Lepisosteus oculatus: one gene and its partners. The protein of the gene in region 1 interacts with the protein of each later gene in a pairwise test. Links are inferred from orthologs where the notes say so. Each region holds a gene or a part of one and is shown on either strand. Other genes may lie near its edges. The genes, in order: kctd6a, grb7 and ctnnd1.

What was found.
Region 2: the proteins of kctd6a (region 1) and grb7 interact in binary tests that used the Homo sapiens proteins (3 or more experiments, as listed by UniProt). The two-hybrid records come from large-scale screens. The link is inferred for Lepisosteus oculatus from reciprocal best matches to the Homo sapiens genes KCTD6 and GRB7.
Region 3: the proteins of kctd6a (region 1) and ctnnd1 interact in binary tests that used the Homo sapiens proteins (3 or more experiments, as listed by UniProt). The two-hybrid records come from large-scale screens. The link is inferred for Lepisosteus oculatus from reciprocal best matches to the Homo sapiens genes KCTD6 and CTNND1.

Annotation. Positions count from the first base shown.
Region 1 is NC_090699.1:56,361,563-56,371,832, reverse strand, and holds the start of kctd6a (BTB/POZ domain-containing protein KCTD6), read left to right. Parts: upstream 1-3,555; 5' UTR 3,556-4,212; intron 4,213-4,831; 5' UTR 4,832-4,927; coding exon 4,928-4,954; intron 4,955-10,270. Other genes in the region: pdhb (pyruvate dehydrogenase E1 component subunit beta, mitochondrial), read left to right, coding at 67-177, 525-616, 1,056-1,197, 1,900-2,045. UniProt on the Homo sapiens protein: Probable substrate-specific adapter of a BCR (BTB-CUL3-RBX1) E3 ubiquitin-protein ligase complex mediating the ubiquitination and subsequent proteasomal degradation of target proteins.
Region 2 is NC_090723.1:3,853,038-3,863,307, forward strand, and holds the start of grb7 (growth factor receptor-bound protein 7), read left to right. Parts: upstream 1-5,514; 5' UTR 5,515-6,206; intron 6,207-7,438; exon of another isoform or gene 7,439-9,678; 5' UTR 9,679-9,888; intron 9,889-10,168; 5' UTR 10,169-10,270. UniProt on the Homo sapiens protein: Adapter protein that interacts with the cytoplasmic domain of numerous receptor kinases and modulates down-stream signaling. Promotes activation of down-stream protein kinases, including STAT3, AKT1, MAPK1 and/or MAPK3. Promotes activation of HRAS.
Region 3 is NC_090701.1:41,500,051-41,510,320, forward strand, and holds the start of ctnnd1 (catenin delta-1), read left to right. Parts: upstream 1-4,169; 5' UTR 4,170-4,586; coding exon 4,587-4,624; intron 4,625-4,822; coding exon 4,823-4,949; exon of another isoform or gene 4,950-4,954; intron 4,955-10,270. UniProt on the Homo sapiens protein: Key regulator of cell-cell adhesion that associates with and regulates the cell adhesion properties of both C-, E- and N-cadherins, being critical for their surface stability.

The DNA of each region.
Region 1 (10,270 bases):
CCAAAGGTCTGCCTGCCTCAAGCGCATAGATGTGGAATTTAAAATTGTGCCTTTCCTCTCCGTCAGTGGTGTTCTTGGAAAATGAGATGATGTATAGTGTACCGTTTGAGATGTCTGAAGAAGCCCAGTCCAAGGACTTCCTCATACCCATTGGAAAGGCTAAAATAGAAAGACAAGGTGGGTGCAAATGAAAACCCTAATTCTTGCTCTATAGGGGGATTTTAAAATCCATCTCCAGGTGGAGGGATAGTCTTGTAGTTGGAGAACATTCAACTTTAATACAAATTGAACTGTAATATGGGTTAAAATGTATGGAGCAACCTGGTTAGCAGAAGCTCCAGGGTTTGAGTTGGAGGTTCTCAATCCTGGTCTTGGAGAACTATGGTCCCAAGACTCTTCAGTAAAATCTAAAACTGGTCTAATTGCATGTTCTAAAGTTTAATAGAATTGGCAGTCCTGTATTCCTTACCCAGGGTTTGAAGATTTTGGTAGACTGAATTAATCTAGTTTTTTTTCCCCCTCAGGATCTAACGTTACACTAGTTTCACACTCTCGGTATGTGGGTCATTGTTTGGAAGCTGCAGCCGTTTTGGCAAAAGAAGGTATTGAGTGTGAGGTAAGCCATCCATGCTTTGACTACATGAAAGCCAGTAAGGTCTTAACTGCATACACTCTAGACTTGGTGTTCTACAAACATCTCCTGCCATTTCAAGGTCTCCTCTGTGAAATGTGGAACTCAAGTTAGTGGTGGATTTAAAGATCTACTTAATTCCAAATTTCATGTTGCCCTCTTAAGCCTAGGGAAGATGTGGCCATTGCTGAACCCTAGTCCTCAGCTGTGATATGCTCACGGAGTTAAAGATGGTCTTGGTGTCTGCCTCTTGTAAGGCATGGTGGTGCTTTGACCAGTGGGTATGAAAATAGCAGATGTACAGGTGTTGTAGCAAAGTGTCTCCAGCCCCCTCCCTGCCCCAAAAAGGGATCTTGGTGGGGAGCAATTACTGAAGCTACATGTTAAGAGAACAGTAAGTGATCTACTGTAATGGTCTCTCCAGGTCATTAACCTTCGCAGCATTAGACCTCTGGATATGGAGACTGTTGAAAACAGTGTGAAGAAGACCAGCCATCTAGTGACTGTAGAGGGGGGATGGCCACAGTTTGGAGTGGGAGCTGAAGTTTGTGCCAGGATCATGGAAGGTAACTTGCTCATGCATTCCTACAATGCAAAACATGGTGTGGATGTTTCATTTCTCTATAGGGATCTTAAAAGTAGCATGTGTTTTTTTTTTTTTGACCACTCTAAATGTGGGGCTACATGTCCTGAGTAAACCCAGAACTGCAGTTTGTGTATTTCTGTGAGGAAATTGAGCCACCCTTTATCCTAGAAGGGAGTCACTTGGCAAGAATTAGCATGTTGTAGCTTTTTAGTTGCAAACAAAATAATTGGGTATGGCCATTGTGCCAGATGTACACTCCAGATGAAGGCAAGTTTAGACTCTCTCCCCTGGCTAATGTCTGAAACAAGTTGCCAAATTTCTTTTTGGAAGCATGAATGAATCTTTTGCCATTTCGCCATCCTAAAGATGTTTCCACCTTGGATCCAATGTGATCAAACTTAATTCCAAAGTGTCAATGCTGCTTTTAGTGGTAACTGCAGCCACCTGGGTCTTGCATAGAAGCATATGGGTGGCTTGGTGAGGGGAACGGCCCTCAATTTAGGGGTTTGAAGTTGGCGAGTTGGTACCATGGAATTTTTTTTTTCAAGCAGAGTTGCAGTTTTACTTGGGCTTTGAAGATGTGTCCAGCATTGTGCAGCCATGTTAGCTCCAACTTAATCAAAGCTGCCAACTGTACAGTTCTGTATAATTGAATGTGCTCAACTTTTTTTTTTCCCTTCAGGTCCGGCCTTCAACTACTTGGATGCTCCTGCCAGCCGAGTAACGGGGGTAGACATCCCCATGCCCTATGCCAAGATCTTGGAGGACCACAGTGTACCTCAGATAAAAGACATAATATTTGCAGTGAAAAAGACCCTGAATGTCTAAGTACAGTGACAGACTTCATCTTTGCATTGTTTTGGTGACACTAGCACTTAGTACATCTTGTTCTTCTGTTCTTTCAAAAAGAACATCTTGTAATATGCAGAAAGGACAGTTTTAAACAGTCCTGGTATGTCCTTTTGTATGGATTCAATCTGTACTCTTGCTTCTGTGCCATTTTGGGTTCAAAACCTGGAGTCTTCAGTGTTTTCTTGCACCATATCTATCTTTTTCTCCTTAAACTATTTAAGCGCACAGGTTAAAGGTGTGGTGCTGGCAAACTAAAATCTTGAACAATATGGGGAAAAATCAAATTAAAAGATGTTAATGCTCCACATGGCTTCCTTTTGTTTTATTAAGTGGGTCCAGTGATACTAGAGAACAAGGTCTAGAGTATGTTTGTTCTGAAAATGCTTCAAGGTGTGCCTTGGGGTGGGGGGTACTTTCAACAAGTTATTTCACCACTATTGTGAAGCTTTAATTACAAAGGCAAATGTCACAATTTACAGCTAGAACTTGACAAAGCATAATGTTAAAATGTGGCCATGTGCAATAGAAACTGTCCTTTTGTTGGGGGGGCAATTTTCATTTTGGGTCCAAGTTCCTGGAAGGTATTGGCTCTGCACAAATGAGGTGATAAAGGTGTTTTAGCCTGCAGCATGTGTACATGTTCAAGCAGGCACCAGTGCATGTTGCTTAACTTGGATTTTAAAAGTAATCCAAGTTCTACAGACTTCTTGTAATTGGTGAAATACTAGGAGATGAAGTACTTGTTAAGGTTATGTTGGCTGGTTTAACCTCCGTACTTGTGGCTCTGAAAGCCGTGTGAATGGGTACTTCATTCTCATACCAGAGTGGTGCAAGATTTAACAATATACAGGTATGCCCCTGAACAAGCAACACTTCACTAATTATCTTCTTGGCAGGTGTAATAGTAATCCTTCTGCCATGGTTTGAGAGACCTCTAAAGGTTTAAATGAACTGTATTCACAGGTGGCTGTCAATTCTATTTAGCTTAATATACTTACATGTTCAAGTATGAAAGAGCTGTTACTTTCACTTTAAAGCCTTATATTGTGTCCAAACTACAAGTGATCTTTCCATTGGAGTCCTTTTTTAATAAAGCACCCAACTACTCTATTTGTTGTACAAAGGTGCAGTGAGACCAACTATATGCTATTATATTGCCTTTTCAGAAAAAGGCAGCATTGGGGAAAACGTCATGAAATGCCCAATGAGTGTTATAAAGTTGCATGTATATTTTAAGCTGATCTTGGAAAATGTGGCAGGAAGACAAGTAGACTGAAATGACACCTGAGAAATAGTCCCACCTTGGCTGTCATTAAAAGTGGATCTTTGGGCCCCAAGAGAGAAAGGATTGAATGAAGGTTGTTGTGAACCATTTCAGTTTTTAATAAGATGGCAAGTGGAAACTTCCACCACGACCAGTAGCTTAAATCATAATGGGGAGATACATCCTACCTCCCCCCTATCAATCCCAAAGTAAATTCCTCTGACGTTTTCCCGGTAATGTTAACGGTTGCTTAGCTGCTGTGCTGATGAGCTCATTCTGCCTCCTACACAATTTCAGATGAAAGCAGGAATAGACTAAAGGGTATGGAGACAAGCTACATTACGAATTCAACGCTTTTTTTTTCCACAAATCATGCTAATGAAAAATAGTACTTTTGTTAATGCATAGGAAATAAAAAGCGAAATTTGTTTACTGCTTTTTTTTTGTTAAACACGTTTAGCCTCCAACGCTCCTACTTAAATGTGCATTTTCATCGGAACTTCTCCGTAGCCTATCAAGTGGAAGAATATTAGTGGTGACGTGCTGCACAATAACAGACACCACGTTTCCGGTTCCTTCCGTACCTTAGATGTTACTTGGCGAAATAGAGAACGCTAAACGCATTCCTCCGAAAGCGCTTCGAATGTGCTTGGATTTTCTCTTTTTTATGAGCAACACTTCCTGAGCTCCCTCTGGAAGCAGAAGAATACCCGATAAAAGACGTAGAGAAAGTAATTGCTCGTCCCTCTTCTGTTGCTGCAGTGGAACAGGCGGAGTAACACTGCTTCATTCAGGCTTCCAAGTCCAACTTCGCGGAAATCGGTGCAAAGTGTCGTTTCCCTTATTTTGGGAGGACAAATATCACGGGTCAACAAACGGGTAAGGATGGAAACGCGGCTCTGCGTGAACGTTTCGCCTGTTTAATTGACACAGCGTGAGATAAAAAGATCCCCTTGCTTAATGACTTAATGATTTGCTTTGCAGCTGTCCCTGCGGAGGTTACGTTGCATCGGCATCTTTACAGTTTTCAAAAGTGGTCTGCAGAGCAAAACCAAACCAATACAGTATCCACTATTACATTGCATTATGCGATTAATCGATCATTTTTATATGTCCAGATCCGTGGATCATTTATTATCCATGTCGTGTCACATCCAGTATAGCGAATACCCTTAGCTTGAATGTGCAGTCAAACCTTCAGACAACTTTCACCATGTCCGCGCTTAATAATTATTCATGCAATATTCCAGTTTCACTTTTGCATGGCAGGGCGACATGGCGATAGATTCCAAACCCATTCTCCTATTTTAATGTCCTATAATATTTGCGCGTTTGCCTACACGTTGCAGGTAATGTCTGTTAACGGGATAACAAAACAGACGATCGTCTGTATGTGAATCATCCATTCCATTTAACCTATGCATGAATACTCGAGAGGGATAAAAAAATCCGTTAAGAATCAACTTTAGTCGAATAATTACGTTTTTCGCTGGTGCAGGCGAACAGCACAAAGACGGAGGCATTACACGGGGGAAACCAAAAATATTCAGCCCGACATCTCCGTCCCTGGGGAAGGAGCCAAGCGTTGGAGCAGATGGATAATGGAGACTGGGGGTACATGGTGAGTGAGTGATTAATTCTGAATGTTCCCCTTATGGTTAAGTGTGAAAATTATATTAAAGTCCACCATGACTAGAACTGGAGTCAATCCTGATTTCTAGTGTAAACAGAGGGCACGTTCACTGGATGGATACAGGTTAGCTTCCCAGAAGAGTATGTTGTGCAAGGGTGCAAGTACCTGCAACGGGACTTTGAATGCAAGCTCCATGTTGGCTGCCCTTAAGGATAAAGGAGAATTTATACCACAGAGTATGGCTCCATTGGAGGCTCACTAGCATTCAGTTTGCCATTTCTGGTGTCCTCTGTGTTACTTTTTCAGAAAATAAATCTTTTTAAAACAGAGGAAACCAAGTCCAACACAGCTATATTTCTTAAAAAAGAAGGCTGCAATTGCAGAGTGACATGATGGAGATATTATAAAGCTTTCATTTTTTTGCACAGCAACAGACTGGTCTGATGGTGCTTGGATTGATTTCTGACTTTGCCCTTTAAGCACCGATTTTTTTAAAACGTATTTTGAGCACTGACCAGGCTGAACTGTGTGGACTTTGGTGCTGCTCTTTCTTCTCCGTTCTGCTTTGACTTTTCAGGGCCGGTGAACGGCTTTTAAAACCGCAGATCAGAGAGTCTAGTCAGTGCCTTTGATGTATGCAAATCTGTTACTTATCAGACCTTAAAGCTAATAAAGCTCTTCATTACAGTATGCCTCAGGGCTTACCTGTAGCTTCATGGCCAGAAAGGCTAAAACAATCTTTGTAGACTATTGACCTGTAACGCAACAAAGCGAAAGAAAGCAGTGTTGTGAAAGTAAATGATCCAGTGTTTTGTAGCACAAACGCCTACTTTGGGAACTTAAGTCCTATTGTATTGAATTTCACCTTGATTATTAATGTCAATCCTTCTGTTAAACAATTGTATTTGGATTCATGACTATTCCGTATGGTGAAGTCCTTGCTTTGCCATCTTAGTGTCTGGATATTCAAGTACTCATGCTTGAGTTACATTTTTAGCAAAGGAATCATTCACACTTTTTATTGTGACAGTTTATATGGCAATTCGCCCTTTTGGTCAGTTGGTAATACTGATTATATTTCTAAGAGACATTTTAGACTGATTATTAATTATTATTTATGGGCGTGATAGATCACCCAGACTGCTTCAACAAACTCACCTGCATAATTGTAAGGGTATCCAATGTTCATATGCAGCAATGCTAGATAATTGATTGTTAAAAACGTATGCCATGTAAATTAATACAATTAATTTCTCATTTTCTCCACCTGGCTTCTAAAACATAATTGCCTCTATGGGTCATCTGGGTGAGTGTTACACTGAAGAGATGGATGGAGATATAATATACTATACATGTTTTTCATTAGTATTATATATAGATGTAGCGAAATGGTAGAAACATATTATACCTGAGAAGTTTTGGTTTAGAGCCTATGCAATAAATCGACGATCCTTCCTTGCGTCTGTGAGAGGGTTTGAATTGTTGTGCAGTCATCCCTGGTGAACAACTGGATGTGAGGACGATCTAAAGACGCTGTTTTGTTAACCGGGAAAAATATTGGTAGCAAACGCATATTGCCAATTTGAAAAAGGTACTTCCAAGGCTTCTCACAGTCTATGCTTAAATTTGTGTTTTTAAAAGGAATTATTTTATTTTTTTGTGTGCGCTCCAGGACAAAAAGTCCTGGTCTTCCCCTGGTGTTTTCGCTGATCTTAGTGGTGCTGGTGTTGTGGGTTATCGCTGGGTTCTTTTCTTGTAGTCATCACAGCTGACTAACCCAAACCTTATAAAACAGTCTCGCTGAAGGCACGGCAGGGCTTTGGTCCAGAATCATGCTGCCATAGCATGTCCATTCCTTTGAGAAATCGTTCAATGTAAACTCGCATGTGGACAAATAAATAGAGTGAATTCTGGCTCACAAACAGTTTTGTACTTGAACATCTCTGCTGGCGTGTGCTGGAATTTTTTGTTATGAACAAATTAACCGTGTTTCAGTGTTAATTATTCCATGTGGGCGTTCTAATCTTTCTACTCATTTACAGTGTGTTAAATCATAATATATTGCTTTGCAATTGTAGAGATTTTTTTTTTAGTAGACATTAAAAAATAGCAATTCCTGATGGTTCAAATACTTCTAAAATTAATAGTGTCTCTGATGTCTAGTTAATCTACAGTGTAGTCCAGATTGATTGAAGGAAACATAATTCTTCTGCACAGCAATGTTTTCTGCTCTGAGTAATTTCCAGAGTTGTGTGAGGGAATAAAATAGACTTCTGCTGTACTCATTTAGTTTGGATGTTCAGCCCTCTGGTGTTTTGGCACTTGTGCAAACAACAGTGCTCATTCTCCAGATGTAGCTGTAGGGTCTGAGCATGATTGCAGCTGTGTAACTTGAGTGGCTGCCTTGTTCTGATGTGGCTTTAACAAAAAAAATGGCTTTCCCAAAAAACATTGCTGTTTATATTTAGAAACCCAGATTAAGAGCAGTAAATTGCTACTTTATAATATGTAACACTGTATGTCAATGATGCGCCGTGGAGTATATTTGAAAAGCTAAATACAGGGCTCGGCTGAAAATATGCAAGTCGTGGGAGAGCCAGACAGTCTGTGGGCCAGTTGGTCCAGGTGGGTGTGAAGATACAGAGCTCTCTTTTGTAGAAAATTAGACACTACTTGGGCAAGACAGCCTCAGATCAGAACCATAAATAGCTGACACCTATGACCTTTCTTACACTGAAATCAGCATGAGGAGGTAACCATGGCTGCTGTATCACAGCGCTGGGGTCCTGCGTTCAATTCCTGGGGTGCTATCTGCGTGAAGTTTGTGGGTTTTTCCCATGTTCTTGTGGTTTTTCCACCCTCAATCCATAAACCCAACCTGGTAGGTCGATTCTGGCAGAACTGGCCCTGGTGCGAGTTTGTCTGTGCCCTGCGATGCACTTGTACCCCGTCCAGGGTGTGCCCTGCCCTGCGCCCACTGCTTGCTGGGATAGGCTCTGGCTTCCCCGCCACCTTGTGTTGGGGGAAAAAGGGCTCAGAAAGTGGAAGGATGGAGGTAATGTAAGTTGCAGACTGCTCAACAGAAGTATGGAGACACTCTGTGTCTGGAATACTGCCTGTGGCCGCTTTGAAGGGAAGGGCAAGACTGACAGCAACAGACTTAGCGACGGGGACAATCTGAAGGGTCAAATGTAAGGGGACACCCGGGAGGGAGGAGCCAGAATGACAGCACATAAAACGGCTTTAGGACCGCTTTTTCAAATGGGCCGAGGTCTGACAGTGCTGTAGGCTGTGCTCAGCTCAGTCTGGGAGGTCATTATTGGCCATTATAACCAAATGCGGACCAACACCTGAAGAAAAGGGTAAAAATCTTAGCAGCAGTGTTCTAACAGTTTTTACGCACTGGAGTGTCCCGTGAGCTCAAATGTCAATGTATTTGGGGGTAAATGTGTTATGTGAATGTCTGTCTTGCAGCTTGTTATTATTTCATTTACAGTGGCATAACAGCATTTCCACTTTCTCATCACAATGTAGACAGGAGCTAGCTATTCGAATTCAGTAATTGATTCCAGTAAATGATTCAGTAATTAAATGCAGTAGTTTTTGCCCAGATCCTACATTTGTTTTGTATTCTGCTTGTAGAAGGTCATATTTTATACAATGCCACAGAATACCATATTTAGAGAATAATTACTGAAACAAGGGTTAATCATTGGCAAAACTAAATAGGAAATAAGATGTTATGTAAGATTGGTAGTCTGTAATTGGTAGTTTTCCTTCTACCAAGTGGATATTGCATGTAGTTTGAGAGACAAGATTATATTTTTATGAACATCCTAGAGGATATATGGACCATGTAAGTGTTTAACCTGTTTGTTACTGTCATTTGCGGGGTTAACATACAATGTTTATTTATAAAACACTCTGAAGTTGAGGCAAAAATAAATTATTGATAAATAATTAATAGTAAATGATAATGGTAAGATGACAAGTCTCATTTCTGAACACACCAGTTCAAATCTGTTATCCATTAATTCTTTAAAGTGGAATGATAGAAGAAAATGAATTAAATAGCAACAAGATATCACATTTTGTTATTTACCTACTCTAGGGCATATTTTGTTCACAGCTGGGGATGTGATAATGTATACATTACAGAGACTTTAAAACAGGCAAAGCATGCATTTGTCATGTATCCAGAGTTTATTATTGTTGTTGTCTGATATAATTTAGGAATTTTTGGAAAGTTAAATCAATAAAGCCTTCTTTATTCAGAAAAATATGTTCTTGATACACAGCCCTGAAATCCTCCTACTTCATTAATACAAGGGCCAAGTGTGTTTTAGTGAGTTTGACAGTTTATAAATGCTTAAAATGTACTGTATTTAATTCAGCTCAAGTCTCCAAGTTCCTCCTTCTGTTCTCTGGACACTGAATCATTTTCTGTGTTGACTGGCATTGCTCAATGATTCGTCTCACTGAGCCGAAGGACTTGGAGAATCAAATAAATGATTCATCCAGGGACTTGTTGTTAGTGGGATTCACTGAAACGATTCGTTCAAAAAGAAGGAATCGATCACAAACTGCCATGCTGGTTTTCCAGCATGATCCATGGATAATTGAAGCTGTTACTTAATTCACACAAATATTCCTGTTTGCATCCTCTAAAATTTACACTATATTTAAAGGGTTCTTTGGCTTCTGTTTGACTTGCAGTTCTCAATGAAAGTCTCTCCGTCATGATCGATTTCCTCACCTTACTGGGCAGTTGTTATACAGGTTTTAGGCATTGTCTTTTCATTGCATTCTTTAGTCTTGATAATGGCTTGCTCACACATCAGGATTGCTGTAAGCTCTTAACGTTTTAGCCTCTTCAGTAGGCCACAGGTTTGAATCGGAGTCCTGGCAATCTCCAAAGTATGTGTATATTTCCTGACTGCTAGAAAAGGTTTTGTTTTCCTTTGGTTAATACTGTGCTAATGATAGCAATCAAAACATTTTCATATAAACATCCCATTATTAAAAAACTGTATTTGCTGATTATGTAAGATTGATTTTTTTTGCAATATTTTGCCTTTTCGTTTCAGATGTTTGATTTAGTTTAATGGTATTTTATAAATTAGCAAAAATCTCAGGGCTCTGCGTAAAGGCAGTGATCTGATTTGATTCATGTGGCTGTCTCACCAGGTAAATGATAATAGATGTTCAGAATGATAATGGTATCTTCACCACAGGCTGTTTGGGTTCACAAATGGTGTCGTGGAATACATTTCATGGAATGTAAAATATGTATCGGGCTGAAAA
Region 2 (10,270 bases), on another chromosome or scaffold:
TTGCTTTTTTTTTGCAGTCCAGGCATGTAGTGCAAAAACTTGTTGGCGTGACAAAGCATCCATCTTCGGAAGCTTGTGTGTGGTCTCCATCTCTGCCAGGATGGTGTGGGAATTCCAGCATTTGCTGGGGTAAATGATTGGCTCTTCCAAATTTGGGGCTCTGATAGTGGGAAAACAATGGTTTCTAAATCAAGTGAATAAGTGTGGATATCCTAACCTCTTGGATTGCATTATAGCAGTATACTTACATTAATATCTGTAAACTGCCCTCTTTTCTTGACGCCTTGCATCTTAGTGTCCTGGACACATCTGGTTACAAGTCCTCTCTGCATGATTTCTCTGTACTTTGTGTTACTTGGTTAAATGGGTTGTGGCACTTGGTGTATGCTCTTGGGTATGTAGAATAATTACAGAAGAATAGTACTACTCAACAAAGTAGAATGTAGTTAACTGTAAAATTTGAGGTAGAAGGGACCTCATAAGACATTTTTTTTTAATAAGAACCAACTCACCACATAACTTTTTTAATAAATAATTGAATAATTTATTGATCATTAGTTGTGGAAAATGCAATAATTGTCATGCTTGTTGCTGTAGGTGTATGTTTAAGCACAGCAAAGTCCGGGGACAGTGAGGCCTTTACAGAGAGCTGCTCCCATTCTGTTTACTGTTTTTGTTTGTTTTTTTTATTTTTATTTTGTACAGAGTACCTGACTCAGAGGCATCTTCTGCTGAGGATAGGTCTACAGTTGCATTGAGATGCAGAACCTTATGTCATGATACAGTGGGGGTCGGGTTGCGGTTGGTTAGGCAGTTATGGGGAAAGTGGGACTGACGCTATGATCTTATTGCAGTGCTTGTGTGTCTTGCAGAAGGGCACTATTGTGGTAGAGGGCTGGGCTAAAGAAAAAGGTTTGCTACTCTCCTTTCACATTTTCATTGTTCCAGTGATCCTATTTTTATCAAAGAATGGCCCTGTTTTTTAAGGTCTGGTGGCCATTGTTACGTAGTCTTGATTATTATCAATTCGGTATTTGACTCACACCATTGTTGTGGCACTGAAAGAATCCTCAGTTTGCTGCATCATTAGGTTCTGTAGCCCCATGTGTTACACAAGATATCTTTTAAACTTTTTGAGTTGAGCTACTTCAACTTATTGATTGTTGAAATGCTGAAAGCCACGTCACAGATAAAGCTCTAATAACTTAGTTTTAAATTATGCACGGAAAACCAAAAAAAAGTGACCTGTTACTGAGTAATTTGTATGGGGCAGTGATTATGAAACATAAGGAGATGTTAATATCTAGCACAGCCTTGAGCTGTGAAATGAAACTAGGCTCACCTACAGGTTTACGAGTTGTTGTACAGATTCTCAGGTGTGCAAGGAAACCATGTCTCTCTCGAAGCAAGAAGAGTATGCTATAGTTGCCTCATCTCCCTTCGAGCAGGTTGTCTGTTAAGTGATCTGGGCATTAGTAAAGTTAAACGAATAGCTCAGTCATTACTCTGAATTCACAAAACCACACATGTGGGATCTTGTTCAATGGTTTGAATATGATACAAATAATCCTAATAAAAAATAGACCACCTGTTAAGCTCTTTGTTTTTTACAAATCACTGTATAGTCTTTAAAAATTAGAAGGAAAATGGGTTTCCTATACAAGTGCAAAAAGGTCCTATTAGAGCATATAAAGAAATGGAATCCAATTCATTTACTCCCCATTCCTGTCCAGTGTGCTGAAATATGAGACTCATAAAGTCCATTTTCTGCTTACTAAAAGGCATGTCTAAAGAATTTTTGTATCTTCAACCTTGGATGCTCTAAGAGGGACACTTATTGGTGTAAACGGCTAGACAGTTGTATTTCATTGACAAAAAAACACCAAACCTGTATATAAATAACACAACTCAAGAATCCTCTTCTTCCTGGCCATTTACTACTTTAGATTTAATTTGTCAACTATAATGTAGCCATAGTGAAAGAAAAACAGTGATATTTTTTATCTGTAAATCATTATAAATATATAAACATTTAACTAGGCAGATTAATTTACCCTTTTTCGAATGTGAAGCTTTAAGTTTAAAAAAAATCTGTAAACATTGACATGCAAAAACAAAGATCTACATATGTATTTTTTTTCTTGAACTTTCCCTTTGGTTTTTAGTTTTGTTTTTTTTTAACCATCTTGTAACTCATCTGAGAAATGCACTATAATAAAGAGATCTCTATTACAATCAGTTGTATCATTCAAGTCATTTAGCTTTGTATTTCTTGCTAGCGAGCTAGCAGTTTCACAGGGAGCCAGTCTGGATCCTGTAGGATGGGGCTTTCATGTGGGAGGTGTGGTGGCACTGGTCAGCATCGGTGCCTTGAAGCCCTGGGTTCAGTTCCAGACCTGGGGAGCCGTCTGTGCGGAATTTGTTCTCTCCGTGTGCGTGTGTTTCCTCACAGTCCAGAGCTCTGACATGAGTGTGTGCGTGTGCCCTGTGGTGGGTTGGTGTGCCATCCTGCTGCTTGCCGGGATAGGCTCTGGCACCACCAAACCCCACAGCCCTGAATCGGAAGAAGTGGGAGAAGATGGATATTTGGGAATTATATGTGAATGCAGATTAATTTGAGTGATCACATGGGTCACAAATTTCTGGATATAGTGAAGCCTTAAGTAGTTTTCTAAGTGCCCCGCCCCCCCCACAACAAAGTTTTGTCCCTTATTTCATCCAAGAAATGCTTCGATACTGAGAGGCTGACACGAGAGTCTGAATGCAACAATGCTGTGCAGATACAAAAAAAAAACCACTCCAGTGATGCTCATAACGTGTGTCAAGGGGATTTCTTTAGAAACCCGTAAAAAAAGATGCAGTTTTAATTAACGCAAGGACGACGGGGGCGTACCCTGTTTGAATGAAGACCAGCCGGTTTCTACAGGCATCGTTGAAGGCAACCTGTAAGAAACACATCAGGATCTGGAAGACCGGTTTACAGCACCGCGCCAGGGCCGTCACCTCAATGCCTGACCACACAGGACCGCACTGTCGGGAGATCTGGAGTCTGCACTGAGACCGCACCTGTGCAGGAAGAGCAGCAGTGTCAGCCTACAGGCTGGTCAGGTATATCGGCTGCCAGGACGGTGTTCATTAATTCTGTAACGTCTTCATGGGGATAGCGTGACGTGTTAGATTGAAAACCCGTAACTTAAAAAAATAATAATTCTGGTCGTATTTCCTGTGATTTTGTTCGATATCTAAATTATTTTATTTCTGTTTCTTAAATCCATTAGTCCAGAATTGACTTTATTTTGTGCGTTTATAGAATTAAAAAAAAAACTATCTCGGAAATTCAGCTAATACTATCGACCTTGGCGTTTTGTCAGATCCCTGAATGATGCCCCCCGTTGTTAAGAGCACAGCCCCCGGGACGTGTCTGTAGCTTTGTCTCCCTCTACTGGAATTTCTTTGATCGGTATTTCACCAGGTCAAGGTTTGAGCTTTGAGGTTTGGTCAAATTGATCTATCAAGCGCGTCTGCCTGGTGTAACTCGCGCTTCGTGTCGCGAGTTCAGCGTCGCCTCCTGCTCTAGAACCTGAATTACACGAGCGATTCGGTCTCTGTTGACCGAGACATTTAAAAAAATATATATATTTGTCGTTTCTCGCTCGCTAATATAAAAAAAACGCTAGGCAGCGATGCTGTCGGCTGTCTAATAAACGGATCATGGACATTTCAGGAAAATCGAGAGATTTCGACAGCAATCGACAGTCTTTGTGACTGCATAATCATATAAGATAAGACATTAACAGAGCCTTTGATGTTACTGACAAAGTCTTCAAACGGCGGAACTCGAGTGCAGTAGCGCGCAGTGAAAACCTGCCACACCTGAGGAGACCTGTGGGCTCCTCTGGGGCCCATCGTGACCCTGACACGCATCGTCTTTTTAAACGTAGACATTTGATCACTGATTTTAATGTCACTGGCTGTTTACTCAGAATCCCACTACATTTTAAAGTGCACTGCTTTCAGTTTACAATTTGGAACTTAAGTAGCCCTGGATAAAAAAACAACAACAACAGTATTCATATTACAGGCTCTCACTGGACGAAAATTACGGGATGTCCTGTCTGCTCTCCTGTTGCCGACTGCAGTTTTGGGAGCTGTTAATCAGCCTCATCTAGAGACAGTGATCAGTCCTTGTGGATACCAGTGTAGGACAACGTTTTCCTGCGTTACCGAGCACGTAAAAAAACTGGTTCCGGAAGCGTTCCTGCATCGACAGAATGCCTTTAGGAGTATTCCTTCTACACTCAATAACCAGAAAGTCATGTAGACCTTCATTCATGGAGTTACCGAGTGCATGTTATGCTCTAAGAATGATCAATGACGAGATCGCTGTGGTTTGTGAGACAGCAATCTCTTCTGCACCGTGTCGTGAGACTATTTTCCTTTACAATAAATCGTTGGCTTCCAAATTAAAACGATGACACTACCTTATTGAAAGGAGTTATTTAATATATATATTTTAAAAGGCTTCAGCTGCGGAATCGTGCATTAAATAAATCTTGCTGTCTCCTGACTCGGGGAGTTCGCGGTTTGCGGGACAGACAATTTCCTCTGCAGGAGTGCAGTTCGTCTGTTTTCATCCCGGGCGCAGTTAAACGTTCACGTTGTAATACGAATCACAATCGCGTCCTGACCCGAGAGTACCTGCCGCACACCTCATGTTACTGAGATACCGTCTGCAGCTGACGGGTAAATCACAGTAAAATGGGAGCTCTTAATTAGAAGAGTTAGTGCGCCACAGGGACGCGCTGTCTTTTCTTTTTTTTTTAAGAAAAGCGACTCCCAGGGTTGAGAATTGACTAGAAAAAACCGTCTTGGTCAAACTTCCGGAGTGGAGTGGAAGTGTGCCCATGAACCCGCACGGATGATAGCACCCTCCCCACATCACGACCCGCTTACGGGCGGCCGCCGGGGCCGGGACGGGGTCCGGTGCCGAGAGCGCGCACCCCCACCTGTCCTCGCGGGGGGGGGGCGCGCGCGCGCAGTGGCCCAGCTCACCTTGCAGGTGAGCTCAAATCCGGGGCTCCTCCCGCCAGGGCCGGAGCGCCCTTGAGCGGTGACGACAGCGGGAGAGGCCGTGTGAGCGACAGGCGGTTGTTGAGTGAGGAACAGGATCTCCCGGTTGTAGGTAATTATTATTTCCACCGTCTGCTCCGGCAGCCTTTCTCACGTTTTTCCACGGGGTAAGTTCAAGTTCTTGAAAGCGGAGGGAACAAACGTGCGTCATGTATGTTGTTTCTCGGTTCTGTTTTCTAGGACGTTACGGGAGTTCGTCAGCTGCTGCTAGGCTGTGTTTGAGCTTTAAATGGGACAGTAAGATGCTGTTAGCTGACGAGAGAGCGTATCTCCTTTCTTCCTTGTAGGAGACAATGAGAACTTGAGATGGCGTACTATCCTATCCGTTTTTTTTACTCGCGTCTTGGCTTCAAATTAGCTGTTTTCTTCTCGTTTCTGTGTCATTTTGACTGCGGGCTTCTGTGGTGATCTGCTGTCTTTTAAATCCTTGGTTACAATGACTCAGGGCTGCACCGACCGGTCAAGTGTTAGATTCGAAGTGCTCCACACAGGGATAAACTCGTATTTTAATCCTTAGAGTTGTGGACGTTTTTTTTCTCTCTCCTTTAATCTGTGTTTTTGGAGCCTTCATGCTGTTTCCTTAGCGGTAGCTTGTCGATGTACGGAGAAGAGATGCACGCTGTGAAAGCATGCCTCTACAGATTCAAACTCTTGATGCAAAAAAAAAATCCTTGATCAGAGTAGAACAGACAAGTTTAGGTAGGGGTGTACCTCTTTGTCAAAGTTTAATTGCAGTGTTTTAAAGTGATTTGAGAGGCCCGTCTATTGGAAAAGTTAAATAAAAATTCCAACTGTTTGATGGCTTTTGAATTTGAAATCCACTTAAAGCTATAAAAAGGTGGAAACCAATCCAGAAGGAGGTTTTTTACCCGGTTGCTTGCATGTTCGTGTGCCTGAAGAGACGAGCTTGTGGAACCTACCAGAAGTGAGCTGTTCTGAAAGCAGAAAGGGACAGAAAGATTAAGAACAGGCCATCCGTGAGCAGCGAGTGGGAGAACTCTGGGGAGGAAGCACGCAGAAGTGATTAGATGCCAGCCGTTGGTGGCTGCGCACTTGAAGCGATTAAGGGCGTAAAGGTAAGAGGCAAAGCGAAACGTTGTGAAGCAGAGAACAGATGTCTTCTGCTGAAAGCATGGTGGGGTTCCTGAGCAAGCTGCCCATCCTTCTTGCTCGAGGGAACACCCTGGCCTGCTCGGAGAAGCAGATGGATGAAATCACGGTGTCACTCTCCTGCTCGCAGCTGTCCTTGCTGGATGGGCAGAAGGGCCTCATCGCTGTAACGTTTCTTTTCTTCCTGCAAGAGGAAGGCCGCTCCGTAACGCACGGTGAGCGGGCCGTCTTCACGCGGTTGTGCTTGCAGGCGCCTAAGGGAACGTCGAATGTTAAAACGTCCTGCATAAACGGGACATTGCTTCAAGTGCTGCCTTCACCTGCCCCCAGAGGGGTCCCCGTTCAGTCCTGCCTTGAGCAGCGAGGTTGTGCCCTTTGTGTTCGGCGCTGCTTTCGAGGTGCAGGCTGAGGGGGGGGCGAGCTTTCATCCCGGTCCGTGGCGCGCGCCGAAGCTGTCGACACAGGTGTGTGTTTTTGATCCCCAAGGAAGGCACGTGCCGGAGTGCCAAGATGAAGGCCCAGAGCTCGCAGCTGTCCAAGGAACGGATGCTTCCCGAGTCCTTGGCCTTGAAAATGTGCTCTTCTTTCAGGTTTCTTCAAAGGAAACTTTGAACTTTAACTGTCCTGAAGCACAAGTGCAGTTTACGTTGTTTTTTTTTTTTTTTAAACGAAGACACCGTGCATAAGTCTTGGGATTTTGTCTGCTCCCACGAAATAGGTCAGAGGCCCAGTCTGATTTCTTCAGGTTCCTGTGCTGTGGAAGGTGTCTTCAGTTAGTGTACAGCTGATTTCTCATCTGGTCAATGGTTGTCTGATCTCCCAGCTCTCTGTCTAGCTCCTCTCGCATTGCGTGAGTGACATGGGGGGCAGTCGATGTGTCAGTGGGCCGAGGCGCTAGGCCAGCCAGCCGGGCTGCTCTCTCTCTCGCTCGCCCGACTCTTCCTGCTGCTGCATGCTGCATGCTCGTCCATTTTCTGAACGTTGTGCTCTCCATCCTCATTCTGCAGCCCACTTGCATCTGAAAACGAGTGCGTACAGCTGCACATTGTAAATCTGTATTCAAATCCATACTTTTTAGATCTGACTGTTCTCATCATTGTGCTTTAAAACCAGATCAGGAGAAACTATGTTACACAAATTGTTGTGTGAGTTGGGAATGAACTACCCAGACGTGTTGATACTGATACTCTGGCTTCTTTTAAGAGCCAATTGGTAGAGTGCCTCAGATCAGCTATTCGCAGCCATATGATTTTGATAGGGAAGATGGACCCCTCTCATTTGTAACCTAACTTATGTTCTTACAGAGGGCCGTAACAGGTTGACCACTTTGAGTGGAATCTGGCAAGGACATTTCTGGACCTTCTAAGGACAGGATAACCAGAAGACATGAGAATCTCTTCACCCCAAGTCTGAAAATTGTTAATATTCTCTGACTATATTAGAAGTGGATCTGTTAGTCTGAATCTTTGAATATAAGATAAGATCACTTTATTGGCCATATACAATTTATTGAAGTAGGAATTGGTCTTTTTTTGCCCCAACTTGCTCTCCATGAGACACACAGACAAAGAGAAGCTTGGGGTCAGAGTGCAGGGTCAGCCGTTTATACGGCGCCCCTGGAGCAGTTGGGCCCCTGAGCAAGGCCCTTAACCCCAACGGAGTAGGATTCCTCTGCTGGTTGCAGGGTTCGTACCGGCAACCTTCCAGCCACAGGTGCAGATCCTTAGCCCCAGAACATACAGTAGCATTATTTGCAGATAAACCTGAAACCAAATTTGGGGTACATGTTGAGAGGGGTTTCTTGAGAAGGGGTCCCCCAGCCAGGAAATGTTGCCCACCCCTGTCCTTGAGGTTGTGTGGAGGGAGTGTTTTCTGCATGAGGCAGGCTGGGAGTTTCAGCGAGGCGTGCTGATAGTGAGTCAGTGGCCAGGGGTGAGTGAGAGTGCATTGTCTTAGTCTAAGCCATGTTTCATGTCCACACAAAGAGCAGGTTGTACAGCAACAGCTGCTGTCGATTCCACACAACTGAGCTCATCGCACGTACTGATGACGGCAAACAGAAATGACTAAAAAAACACCTCTGCTGTTGCAAAACTATTATTTCCCTTAAGTCAACCTTGCACCTGAAGTGTAAATACAATATTAAATTACTGATGCCAGTAATTACCAGTAAATTATTCTTACTCACTTCAGTGACTGGAAAGAATGCTCTTTGTCACAGTAATTATTAAGTTTCAGTTACTGAACAAATAAAGTTAAGCAGTCTTAAAACAAAAAAACAAGCTTCTGTAATCTTGGTGTCTCCTGGTGATTTCTCAGTGTTAACTGGGGTAACAAGCTGCTACACTAGCAGGAAATTCCCTAAGGCAAATTAAAGTATTCCAGCAGTAGAAATCTATTGTCATCATATCGTGCGTGAATTTATACTCTTGTGTGGGGGTGGTTTTTGGGGGCCTGCTGTGTTTGCTGAAAATTCCAGAGTGTAACATGGAAAGCATTTTTTGCTGTTTTATGACTGAGAAAACAAATTACCCTTTTTGGAAGATCCTGCAACACTTCGTTGTTCTTTTTATTTTTAAAGAAAGTTAATTAGTTAAGAGTGGTTGAGGTTTTGATATATGTCTGCGGAAGAGTAAATTCGTTGCAGTCTGTAATAAGTTGGGGGGGGGAACCCAGTTTCTTCAGTCCACTTTAGGTTAGTGCAGTTGTGATGGTCCCCCTGCAGAGTGCAGCAAAGGGTGATGAGGCTGTATTGCTGGACTGTGCAGAGAGATGTGCCTGAAGGCAGCTGTCCAGCAGAAACCACGACCAGTGCCACTAGACACTTTAACACTCGTTGTCGGTAAATGCACTTTTATACTTACAAAAACCTCTCTTTGTGCTCCGAGGCTACGGCTGCTGGTTCTGCTTGCCAGTGACAGGGCAGAGGAGGAGATGTTGTGCCTTTGCCTTGTCCGTATTGCTCCAGCCCCTGCTTTTGTAGTTTACTCCTCAAAGCACTCTGAACACGGACCACCCTGCAGCCCTGCACCAGAAGCATGAGGGAGCTTAGCGCTGGCAATGCGTGGATCACATTTGTGGAATAAAAATAGCGTATGAATAACGTCAGCACAAGTGTTAAGACCATCAAGTTCAGGCAGAGCATGGAGAAGACTGGGGGGGTCTGTGCACGTGGTGCTATAAAGAGCAGACAAAGGTCACTCAACCTTCCATGTTGTGCTGTGAGGCATGGGGAGAAATCGCTCTGAACCCCCCCCTGGCACTGCGAGGCCTGGTGAAATCGAGGTAACCTGAGGACAGGGGTGAAAGCTGAAACTGGTGCTGTTGTCATCATTGCGCTCATGACACATTAACAATAACAGGCTGGTGTATCTCGGGAAGCGGGGCAGAATTAAAAATAGATGCCATTTGCTCCTAGTATCTATTTGTTCCCGAAAGCACGTGGTGTTCCGGCAGCGGAGTCTAGAGAAAAGCAGCTCGTGCCAGTGCAGCGCAGCAGACCTGTCCAGACTGTGACGAGCAACATGCCCTACAGTTTCTGCTGCAACAAGGTGCCGGGCGCTTCAGGGCAGTTCTCTCAACGCCTCCTTTTTTTATAATGGACCGGCAAGGTGAATGTCGGGCTCCAGAGTGAAAACTGCAGAAAAGGTAGGATGACTCCAATGTTTAGAGCTCGGTCTTCCTTAGTGTATGGTGACAAGTTCTATACTTTCATTTATGCATACATGTTGCAATAGCATTCAAGAGTAAAACAGCGTAGTGCCTTATTCATTAACATTAAGGAGCTTACTCTTTTTGAGTAAGAACTGCAAGGGAGACATGTTTAATGTTGTTCTGCCCTTGCAAAGCTGTGCTGTGACCTGTTGATTCTCCACTGTGACACTGCTCAGGTGAGCCGTCTTGGTAGTGCTGCGTCTGTTGTTTTCAGTGGTGTGGCCTGGCTGTGGTACAAGACTTCTTAGATGGGCAGGAAAAACTCAGACGAGTTGCAGGCTACAGGTGTCCAAAGAACCTTGCGACCATCTGCAAG
Region 3 (10,270 bases), on another chromosome or scaffold:
TTTCAGCATTTTTTCGTATTCAGCTGCTGCCTTATGCCCTTGTCTGTAATTGTCCGGCTGCTGGGTGTGCCGAAGCCCTGGAGCGGAGCGGGCTGGACCGTGACCGGGTTCCCTGCTGCAGTGTGTTTTAGATTACCTCTGACATCACACAGGAGGAGCCTGTGCGGACAGGTGTCAATGAGCTCCGTGACTCATGTTGACTCGTTTTCCTGCAACATCGTGAGAGAATGATCTGTCATTTCTTCCGATACTTAAAATACAGTTGTTACAGACGTAAATAAACGGCCATCCGGTATGAGAAAAGTATCGGGAGTTGTTTTTAAATCACCTCTGCTCCGACAAATTGGTAGATGTCAGATGGCTACTAGTTAATTCCCTGGGGTGGAGCAGTGGCTCTGTGGCTGAGGATCTGTGCCTGTGGAAGGTTGCTGGCTCAAATCCCACAGCTGGCAGAGGACTCCTACTCTGTTGGGCCCCTGAGCAAGGCCCTTAACCCCAGCTACTCCAGGGGTGCTGTATAAATGGCTGACCCTGCGCTCTGACCCCCAGCTTCTCTCCCTGTCTGTGTGTCTCATGGAGAGCAAGCTGGGGTATGTGAAAAGCCAAATTCCTAATGCAATAAATTGTATATGGCCACTAAAGTGATCTTATTATTTTTCCAGCCGTGTATCAAACAAATCAACATTCCTCAGGGCTATGGCCCTGATTTCTTTTTAGTACTCATCAGGGATCCATTCCAGGACCTGTGGGAAAGTTCTACACTGACAGGCTGAAGGAACTCATACCCTGAGATCCTCCAGTCAGGACAGGAGGCACTGCTTTACACAAAGGGTGGTGGGAGTGTGGAGCGAGCTGGATGAGCTTCTCAGATCATTTAACTACTAACCCAACGCGCTGAAGGGCCTGGCCTTGCTAGTTAACAGTTCTTATGTTCTCACGGTCTGAGCCTGACCCCCCCCCCGCCCCTGCGGACACAGGGGGCCGGCGATGACCTCCGTATCGGTGCGGCGCTGCGGTCGGCGGCCAGTCCCTCGCGCTCCGAGCGGGTCGCCGTGATGTGCCGTGCGCGTCCAGGCCAGCGCGTGACGAGCGGTCACGGCGGTCTGCGGCTGGGCCTCGGGATTGTGGAATGTTAATAATTTCCGTTTCTAAACAATTCCACTTCCCCTTTCCTTTGTGTGCCTGTTCCATGAAGGATGACATCACCCTGGCCGACTTCTCCCCCGAGGGGGCTGAGCTCCGCACACAGAAACAATCCGGCCTCACACGGCGCCCGTGGCTGTAGCGCAGGACCTTCACAAGTCCACGCCAACACGCTCTGCTTACTTTTGCTCCTGTATCGCCAGGAACTTGTTGGACTTTCTGAAGAAGCTTAGGCCTCTGTGAGTAGGCCGCAGGATGAGGGACGAGAGGGAGACAGAGGGAGAGGGAGTGTCACTAAGCACTGGACCCCAGGAAAGATGGGCTCTCAGACTCATCACCTGTTGTCTCCTGGGTTTTGCTCTGAACCGCGGAGCCAATTAAACAGGTTGTGATTTGGCTTCCAAAGCCAACTACTAAAAGGTTTGCTCCATTGTTGTGGCATCTGATCTGCATTGGATATAGCACCTTTCATGACACATCATTGCTTTTTACCATGAAACGTGGTAAAAACAATCGAGACACTTGCACACAGATCAATGCAGTAAAATCATGCCTAATTAGGGGGATTAGCGGACACTGCAGAAGCTCCCAAATTCAATTAAAAAGGATTTAAATAGACGTCAGAACAGGGTAAACACCTGGCAGATGATATTCAATGTACGTGCAGATAGGGAAAAATATCAATCCAATTTCTTTGTTGTTCCAAATTGTGAGGACAATGAACTGAATCTCTTTAGTTTTGAATGGGGAAGACTATAAGGGAACTTGATTCAAGTAAATGAAAAAAATTAAAATATATTGACAAAGTCAGCCCAGCGGAGCTCGTCAGGATCTACAGGGAAACAGGAACCAGAGGACACAGGTGGAAACTACAGGGCAGACCATATAAACTGAGAAACAGAGGCACAGAGATTGTGACAGTGATGCTGTGGACTGGAGCCCCAGTGGACACCTGTCCTGAGAGAGCAGAGTGACAGTGAAGCTGTGGACTGGAGCCCCAGTGGACACCTGTCCTTAGAGAGCACTGTGACAGTGAAGCTGTGGACTGGAGCCCTAGTGGACACCTGTCCTGAGAGAGAGCAGTGTGACAGTGATGCTGTGCACTGGAGCCCCAGTGGACACCTGTCCTGAGAGAGCAGAGAGTGACAGAGATGCTGTGCACTGGAGCCCCAGTGGACACCTGTCCTGAGAGAGCAGAGAGTGACAGAGATGCTGTGCACTGGAGCCCCAGTGGACACCTGTCCTGAGAGAGCAGAGAGTGACAGAGATGCTGTGCACTGGAGCCCCAGTGGACACCTGTGGGATAATCTGGGACAACAGGTAGCACTGGGGCTCAGAGACCAGTGAACAGACACACGCTTGTCCAGACTGTAGGAAAGGAGACACAATCCCACAATCCGGCTTCTCACAGCAGAGCCTGTTGAACAAGCCTGTGCATGACCAACGCTAATCAGCACCATTCATTTATCTCTGTTACAGGTGATGATGAAAAGCCACAGACCAGAAGAGGACCCCACCTGATCACAGCTAAACTGCTCACCTGAGGGAGGGCTGCTGCTACAGCACAGTGCCTCACCTCCCTGAGACGCTGCAAGCTACACACACTCCTCCCGGGGCAGGCGTGAGCGCACACCCTGAAACTGGGGAGGTGAAAGCGCCGGCGGGTCGGGCTCCGGCGTGTTGACCGAGAACAAGGGGCCGAGGCGCTCATTTGCATATCGCCACACGCGCTCTTTGACCCCGCGCAGCCAGACTTCCGCCCGCCCGCCGTGTGGCGCTCGTGAACTCTCGCCGACTGCGCTCGACACGCCCCGGACCGCGGGCTGTAATTGTCTGCGCTTAATTAAAGGACCAGGGCGCAACTTCCTGACTGGAGCTCGCCGAGCCTGCTCGTGAGCAGGGCGAGGGAACGCAACACGTCGGATAAAAAAAAGCGCCTTAGCTATTGGTCGGCTCCACACCCCTCCCTTTTTTTTTTCGGGCTAATCTTCCTCCTCTCTTCCCGAAAGAATGATGGGAGGATCCCATTGGACTGGGAGCCGCTCCCAGCTGCCGCGCCCTGGGGGGTACCGTAGTACACGGGGTATGCGCACACCTCTAAACAATGAGCTCATGAGTCTGTTTTCTTATATTCCAAGCGTATGGAATAAAAGCAGAAACACAGATCCTGTACGTATTATTATTATTATGATAATGATGATTCTTATTCAGTCCTGGGAACTCGCAAACAATTCTGGTTCCACTTCCAACCTCTCTATTAAGATGAACATGTATGCAAGAAATACGTCATCAAAACTATCAAACAAAATGAACATCTGGGCTGCTGTTCTGTATTTCTAAATAGGGTATACGTTAATGACACTTGAGAGGAGGCCCAGGCGCTAGCGGGGGGGACAGACGAGCCTCCGGGCGCGCTCCGGTTTTAGGGTGTCCACCTACCCCGGTCGTTACGGTAACCCCTGTACACATCCCCCTCCCAGCCCTGCTGCGCGAGATTCACGGGCTCCAACTTTAACAGGGAGAGTCGACAGGGACACGGAGCAGCGGAAAGACGGGAACACGGACAGAGAAAGAGAGGTGGGGAAAAAGAGGGAGGGGATAGTCCTTTTTTTTTGTTTTCTTTCTTTCTTCCTCGCTTGCTTCCTTTTCTGGCTGGGGTGTCCACACCCATGTAGTCGCGGAGCGGAGTCGGTACAGTCAGACGCCCGAATTCGGCGGCGGGGAAAAACCGTGAGAGAGAGAGAGAGACAGACTCGGAGCAGCCCCGGCAGCGCTCAGGCCCGGGACACGCACTCACGCACGGCCCCGGGAGACACGGCCAAGCGTACACACACACACACAGGCACACTCGAGTCCTCCCCGGGATAGGATTTCGGCGTGCGGGAGAGGACGGCTCCTAGGTAGGTCTCAGCGGCGGCGGCGGCGGGTGGATGTCGGAAGTGCCTGGGAGTCGGGGCGCACGAGACTGAGCGGCTCGGGCTGGCTGGCTGGCTGGCTCGAGCCCCGTCCCGGCAGGCTCCGCTCGAGCGGCCGGGGCGAGTCGGGGCCGCGGGCGGCTCTCGCAGGCGCACGTCTCCTCTCGCACCGGGTCGGGGGGACGGGTTTATTTATTTTTTTAAAAAAAGGCAGACACAAAGGAAGAGACGCGCAGGAGGAACAGCTCCTGACGGTCCGAAGTTTCTCTGCCCCCCCCTTTTTTTCCCTAAAAGCAAATCTGCGCCGTCTCTCCGCTGTGGAGATTTTCGTCTTTTCTTTGCTAACTTGAACGCTGTTGCCCGCTGTCTAGTTATTTTTGTAACGAGCCCCAGCTTTCGTGTGGTTGCGGCGCCCGAGTCCTCTTTTCCAGAGGCCCACTTCCACACAGAAACTCGCTGCGCAACCGCGGAGCCCCAACTCCGGCGTTCTCGCGCGGCTGGGCGGCGTGTCCGGCCGTTTGAACACGTATGCCGAGAGGGAGACGGAGGATTATCGCGAACCGACGGTGAGGGTGGTGGGTGGGGGGGAGGAGGGAGAAAGCTACTGTTGGTAGTGCCCGAAGATGTCCGTCTGTCCCTGGGACACCTCGCCGCTTCAAAATAAAAGCGCTCTCCCTAGCTTGAGTGTGGGCTGTGGAAGGGACTGGGAGGTGCGGCTCCCGGGCGCCGGTCTCAGCCCTGCCGTCTCTCTGCCTCTCGCTCAGCGTGGCGGACTGGGGGACTCGTGCAGCGGGACGTCGCCGCGAGGGGAGAGACCGTGACGCCCAGCGCGAGCCAGTGACGACCGACGGTTCCGGCGCCGGACAGCAGCGACGCGCCCGGCGGGACCAGGTGAGGTAAGGGCTCGGCCCGTCCTGCCCCCGTGTGTGTGTGTGTCCAGGCTGCAGCCGGAGTACCGGGGACCTGGCGGCCCGCCGTGTGTGCGGTTACAGTTGGAGTTTCAGCGCTTCGCCGGAGTTTTCTTGTGGTTTTGACTGACGGCGTCAGGACGGTGTCGCGGGTGGCGGTGGAGCAGAAAGGTCTGCGGGGGTCCAGGGGTGTGGGGAGGCACCAGCGCCGGGGGGGTTCGGGCCCGGTCGCCAGGTGTGTCCTCGCCGGCGCCGCTCCCCCCTCGACTTGCTTGTTTTGAAATGCTGGAGCCGAAACTGCCGCCCGCCCCCCCCACACACACCGCCCAGCATGTCCCGACTCGCGAGTGTGACGCCACAGCTCGCCGCGGTCACCGGTGGCGCTGCGGGCGGCTCGCGAACCGGTTCGGTGGGTCTGTGAGGCGACGTGCTCGCGCACGCACCCCGCCGGAGCGCGAGTGGGTGAAGCGAAGCGCCGATGACCCGGCCAGGCCGCGCGGGTCCTCCGGGCTCGCGGCAGCCCGAGGGATCCCCAGCCCTCGCCACGGGCTCGCGCACGGTGCGCGCGATAGCTGGGAGTTCTCGACCTCTTACGTTCGCATTCTTCGGTGCGCGCGGTTCTTTGAGGGGGGGCAGCTGTGGATCTGGAGCGCTGGAGCTGTGCTGGGGAGGGCGGGAGCTAGCCTGGCCCGGTGCCGTTTGGGCCGGTTCGGGGCGGAGCTGCAGCAGGCAGCGGCCATTACAGCTCACCTGTACCTGCGCCGGGCCCGGCGGGGGCGCGCTCGCTGTCGAGATAAGAGTCCCTCGGCCTCTGCGCTCCCTGCGCAGCCTCGTTATTGAGGCCAGATGTTTGTAGTTCGCTCGTCATCTCGCCTAGGTTTCCGGGTTCAGAGTCCAATAACGCTATTTTGAAATCGTCTGCAGGAGAAAACTGAATCTTTGTGTCCCGCAGTAGAGTTGAGTTTTCATGTGAAACGTGCTGACTATTCATTAATACAGTACAGTCTGGATATTAACACTGCACTGAGAGAGAGGGGTTAATACAGTCCAGACACACTGACTGGACACTCCAGGACATTAACACTGCACTGAGAGAGAGGGGTTAATACAGTCCAGACACACTGACTGGACACTACAGGACATTAACACTGCACTGAGAGAGAGGGGTTAATACAGTCCAGACACACTGACTGGACACTACAGGACATTAACACTGCACTGAGAGAGAGGGGTTAATACAGTCCAGACACACTGACTGGACACTACAGGACATTAACACTGCACTGAGAGAGAGGGGTTAATACAGTCCAGACACACTGACTGGACACTACAGGACATTAACACTGCACTGAGAGAGAGGGGTTAATACAGTCCAGACACACTGAAGAGGAGCGATTATGGTGGTTGAAGTGTTTTTGAGGTCCAGGGGATAAGGGATGCCGGTGGAACCAGTCTGATGTGGTCTGGGGTTGTGGTGGAGGGCCCGGGTTCCCCGTTGAGGAGTTGTGTGTGTGTTGTGGGGGGGGGGGGGGGAGTCAGACTGATCACATTCTGGCTGGTGGGAGATGCTCCCTCTGTAGCTTCTCACTGCCGGAGTTCTGTGGCGTTGTGGTCTCATTGGCCCGGCCTGTATTCCTGCAGGTCAGGTCCCAGCGTGGATGACAGTCATTCCAGCAGCATCGTTGTGTGAAACGTGAGTGTCGCCAGGTTTCAGGAGGAGTGTTGGCAGTAGGAGTAGAGCCGTGTTCCAATGGGACAGGGAAGCCCCGAGTCCAGCAACGCTGGAGCATGAGACATCGGCACCGGGTGGCCTGTTCCCCACTCCCACAACCCTTTGTGTAGGACGTGCCTCCTGGTTTTGGTTTTAAATGCCTGTTGCTCGGGCCTTTGTAAATTGTGAAAGTTTGTGTTGTTTCCGCTTCTAGTCTGCACCGTTCAAGACCGTCTCGATCTGCTTCCTCCGGCCTGGCAGTGCAGGACTTTCCCTGCAGCCCGGGCGTGTCTCGGGTGTTCCTCTCCGGACGCGTTCCAGAGCAGCACTGCCTTCTCTGTAGTGTGGTGACAGAGGGGTTATGTCCCTGTTTGAGACTAAAAGAGGCTCGAGGCTCGGAGGTTATAATCTCAGGTGGGGCTCAGTCGGTCAGGGTAGCCCTGGCCTGACCCAGGACTCGGCGGGAGAGATGACCGCAGGCGGATCTGGCCTTCAGGGCCCCCGCTGGGCCTCGGCAAGGCTCTGAAAACACAGTGGGGCAGTGAGCACGCGCAGACGGGCTTCTTCCCGACTCGGCGTGGCCCAGGAGCGGTGGACGGGTCCGGCTCGTGAGCGAGCCTCTCCCAGCCCCTCGGCGGGGCCCGTGGGTCGGTCTTGCCGCGGCTCTGTGAGCGGCGTGGGGACTGCCGGGCAGCTCCCCGCGGGGCGCGCTAGTCAGCTGGCAGGTCCGTGGTGAGCCGGGGTGTTGCCCGTGCGTCGGTGCTGTGGCTGTCCCGTGAGGGAGGGCTTTCTCGTGCTCTTCAAGCGTGCGTCCTCTGTCCCGCGGGGCGCGATACTTTCCTTGGGGTGCTCCTTGGCTATTCGGGGTGCTGTTGTGCAGCTCCCCCCGGTGCACCTGCGTAGGCGCTGGTATACCCCATCCCTCGCGGTCATGGTTACCGTCTGTCCTCAGGCCGCGCCTGGTCCCCTGTTGCCCCGGAAACGCAGCGGCGGTAACCATGATCGTCGGCAGTGGCCCGTGTGGGGCTCGGCGGTGCTGTACGCCCAGGGGCCTCGTGAGCAGAGGGACCAGCGGGAGAGTCGCGCAGAGGGGGCCGCGCTGCTGCTGCTCCAGGGGTCTCGCACAGCCGCGGTGGGTCAGCGACTCTCTGGACCGCTGGACCTGTGGGACCCGAGCCGCTGCTGGATAGCCGGCCCCGAAGTACAGACCCCACGATGTTGAGTTCGGTCCGGTCTGTGAAAGCTCATCGGACGGCCGTGCCGGAGAGGACACGGGTTTTAATGTGACGGTTTTAGCGTTCGCCCCTGGGGGCTGCTTCCGAACGGTCGGCGAAACGCGAACCGGAGGACACGAGCGGCAAACTCCGGAGCGGTGCGCGTGAATCCGCGAACAGGAGCAGCTGCTTTGCACGAGGGTTGTGGGAGTGTGGAGCAGGTCTGAGCACCCATATTGCAGAAGCCGATACCCCGGTTTCTGTCAAGATCCTCAGGTCAATGATCAGCTAACTACCAGACAAAAAGAGGAGTCAAATGGCTGCCACTTGTTTGTTACCTAAACATTCTTTCAGTCTGCGAGCCGCTGTGCTCAATACTTTCCCCTCTTTCTCCGGTTCCAGTATCTCCCCTGCGTCTCTCTTTATCTGTGCATTCCCTCTCCCTGAGCGTGTCGGAGCTTGCCGGGCGGTGTGACTGCTCACAGGGTTTCCGCACGGTGCGCTGAGGTGGGGGTGGGGCTGTGTGCGCGCTCGTGATCGGGGCTTGTCCTGCCCGTTGAGAAACATACGGGGAAGGAGCCGTGGGCCTGGCTTGCTGGTACACCGCACTGGTGCGCGTCTTCCCTCAGAGAAGCCACTGTATGTACATGCGCACAGCTGGAGTAGAGACAGAGCAGTAGATAGTGCAGATCTGCAGCGATAAGCAGCCAAAATCTGGCCCACTGTGGTTTCCTGTGGTTGGTGAGGTTGCGGATCTTTTCATCGGCTTCGTGCAGCTACGGATGTGCGATTCTCTGCGAGTGCCCTCAAACACCTGCTGTTGGCCAGCACATCAGAGTACAAGTGGAAGAGCCTTAAAATTTAAGAGCTGGAGTAACTTCACACAAAGGGTGGTGGGAGTGTGGAACAAGCTGCCCAGTGGTGGTGTTGAAGCCGATATCTGGGCTCCTGTCAGTGTACAGCTGGATAAGATCCTCCAGTCAGGACAGGAGGCAGTTCTGTACACTGATGGTGGATCAAGCTGCACGGCCACGTTGTTGCTTTTCAGCAAGGAGCTGAAACAAGTCTTTGCACCAGTTGGCCATTAACTGCCCCGCAGGCTCGATGGGCTGAGTTTGTGAAAGTTTGCTCTTGGGAGCCTGCAGCTTCTGGGCCCTGGACTGGGGGAATGTGCTGTGGGAGTGTTTCCTTGCTGTGCTCCGCTGCGGCGCGCTGGTGTTGTTTTTAATTGGTCGATTATACGCCCCTCTTAGTTTCACCGCATGGGGTTTGTTCCCTGAGGTCTGAATGCAATGACACCGAAGGTTAAAGTAGAAGCTGTTGGGATGGAAGTATTTCTGAAACATAATTTGAAACAGCCCCTAGGACTTCCCCAGTGTCCCTGTTCAAGTTCATTACAGGCACTTGTACACCATAGATTCTAATTTTACACCCTACAGAGAGTGCTGACACTGCACTGAGAGAGAGAGGGGTTAATACAGTCCAGCCACTGACTGGACACTACAGGACATTAACACTGCACTGAGAGAGAGGGGTTAATACATCATTTCCTGTTATTCAGGAAGCTGTGAAATTGTTCTAGGGCGGGACGGGGGTTGTCTATTGTTCACTGGGCCTTGCTGCTGATTTCCCAGTGTCTCAAGGACGTGTCAGTGAGTGGCGTTCAACAGGGAGTGAGCAGGGGTTTAGGAAGCGTGGTGCTGCAAGTCCAAGTGTGGAAACGATTGCTTTTTATAAACGGGGTGGCCACCTCGAGGCAGAGCTGTGCGGGGAGCCGCTTTTCTTCTCTGGGGGGCTCCGTTTCCCTGTGACCCCGCGTGCCTCCTGGCCCTCCACCTCCCCGCTCTCCTCTCCGCTCTGTGTGAATCACATGGGCCCTCATGGGTTTCTCACTGTTGTCACACTTCTATTTTTGTGGGGGTGAGAAAATCAGCTGTGTGTCTCATGAACGTCACGCCGTCCCTCCCTCCCTCTTCCTGCCTCTCCGTGCAAAGGTGAGGGAGAGCTGTCTCCTCCGTGCTGCGGGGCCTGGGCCTCCTGTGATCCCGGTGCTGGGTGCTCTTCCCACATTGTGCTGCACTGCCCGGCCCGCCTGTGTGCTCTGGGCCGAGATCCGGGGGCTCGCGAGCGGCCCGACCCAGAGCCCAGACCCGCGAGGGGCTGCAGCGGCAGAGCCAGGCCTCCGGACGAGCGGCGGCGGCGGCGGCGGCGTCTCCCACCCCCGTTGTGGTCCGTGCGCGCAGACAGCTGGCTCTCCCCTCCCCGGACCTGCTCTGACAGACGTGCGCGGACGGCCGCGCAGTTGCTGCTCCCCGCTTGGGTCTCGAACAAACTTCTCATTGTCTGCCGTCTGGGAGCTGACAGCTGCGCGCGCCCCCC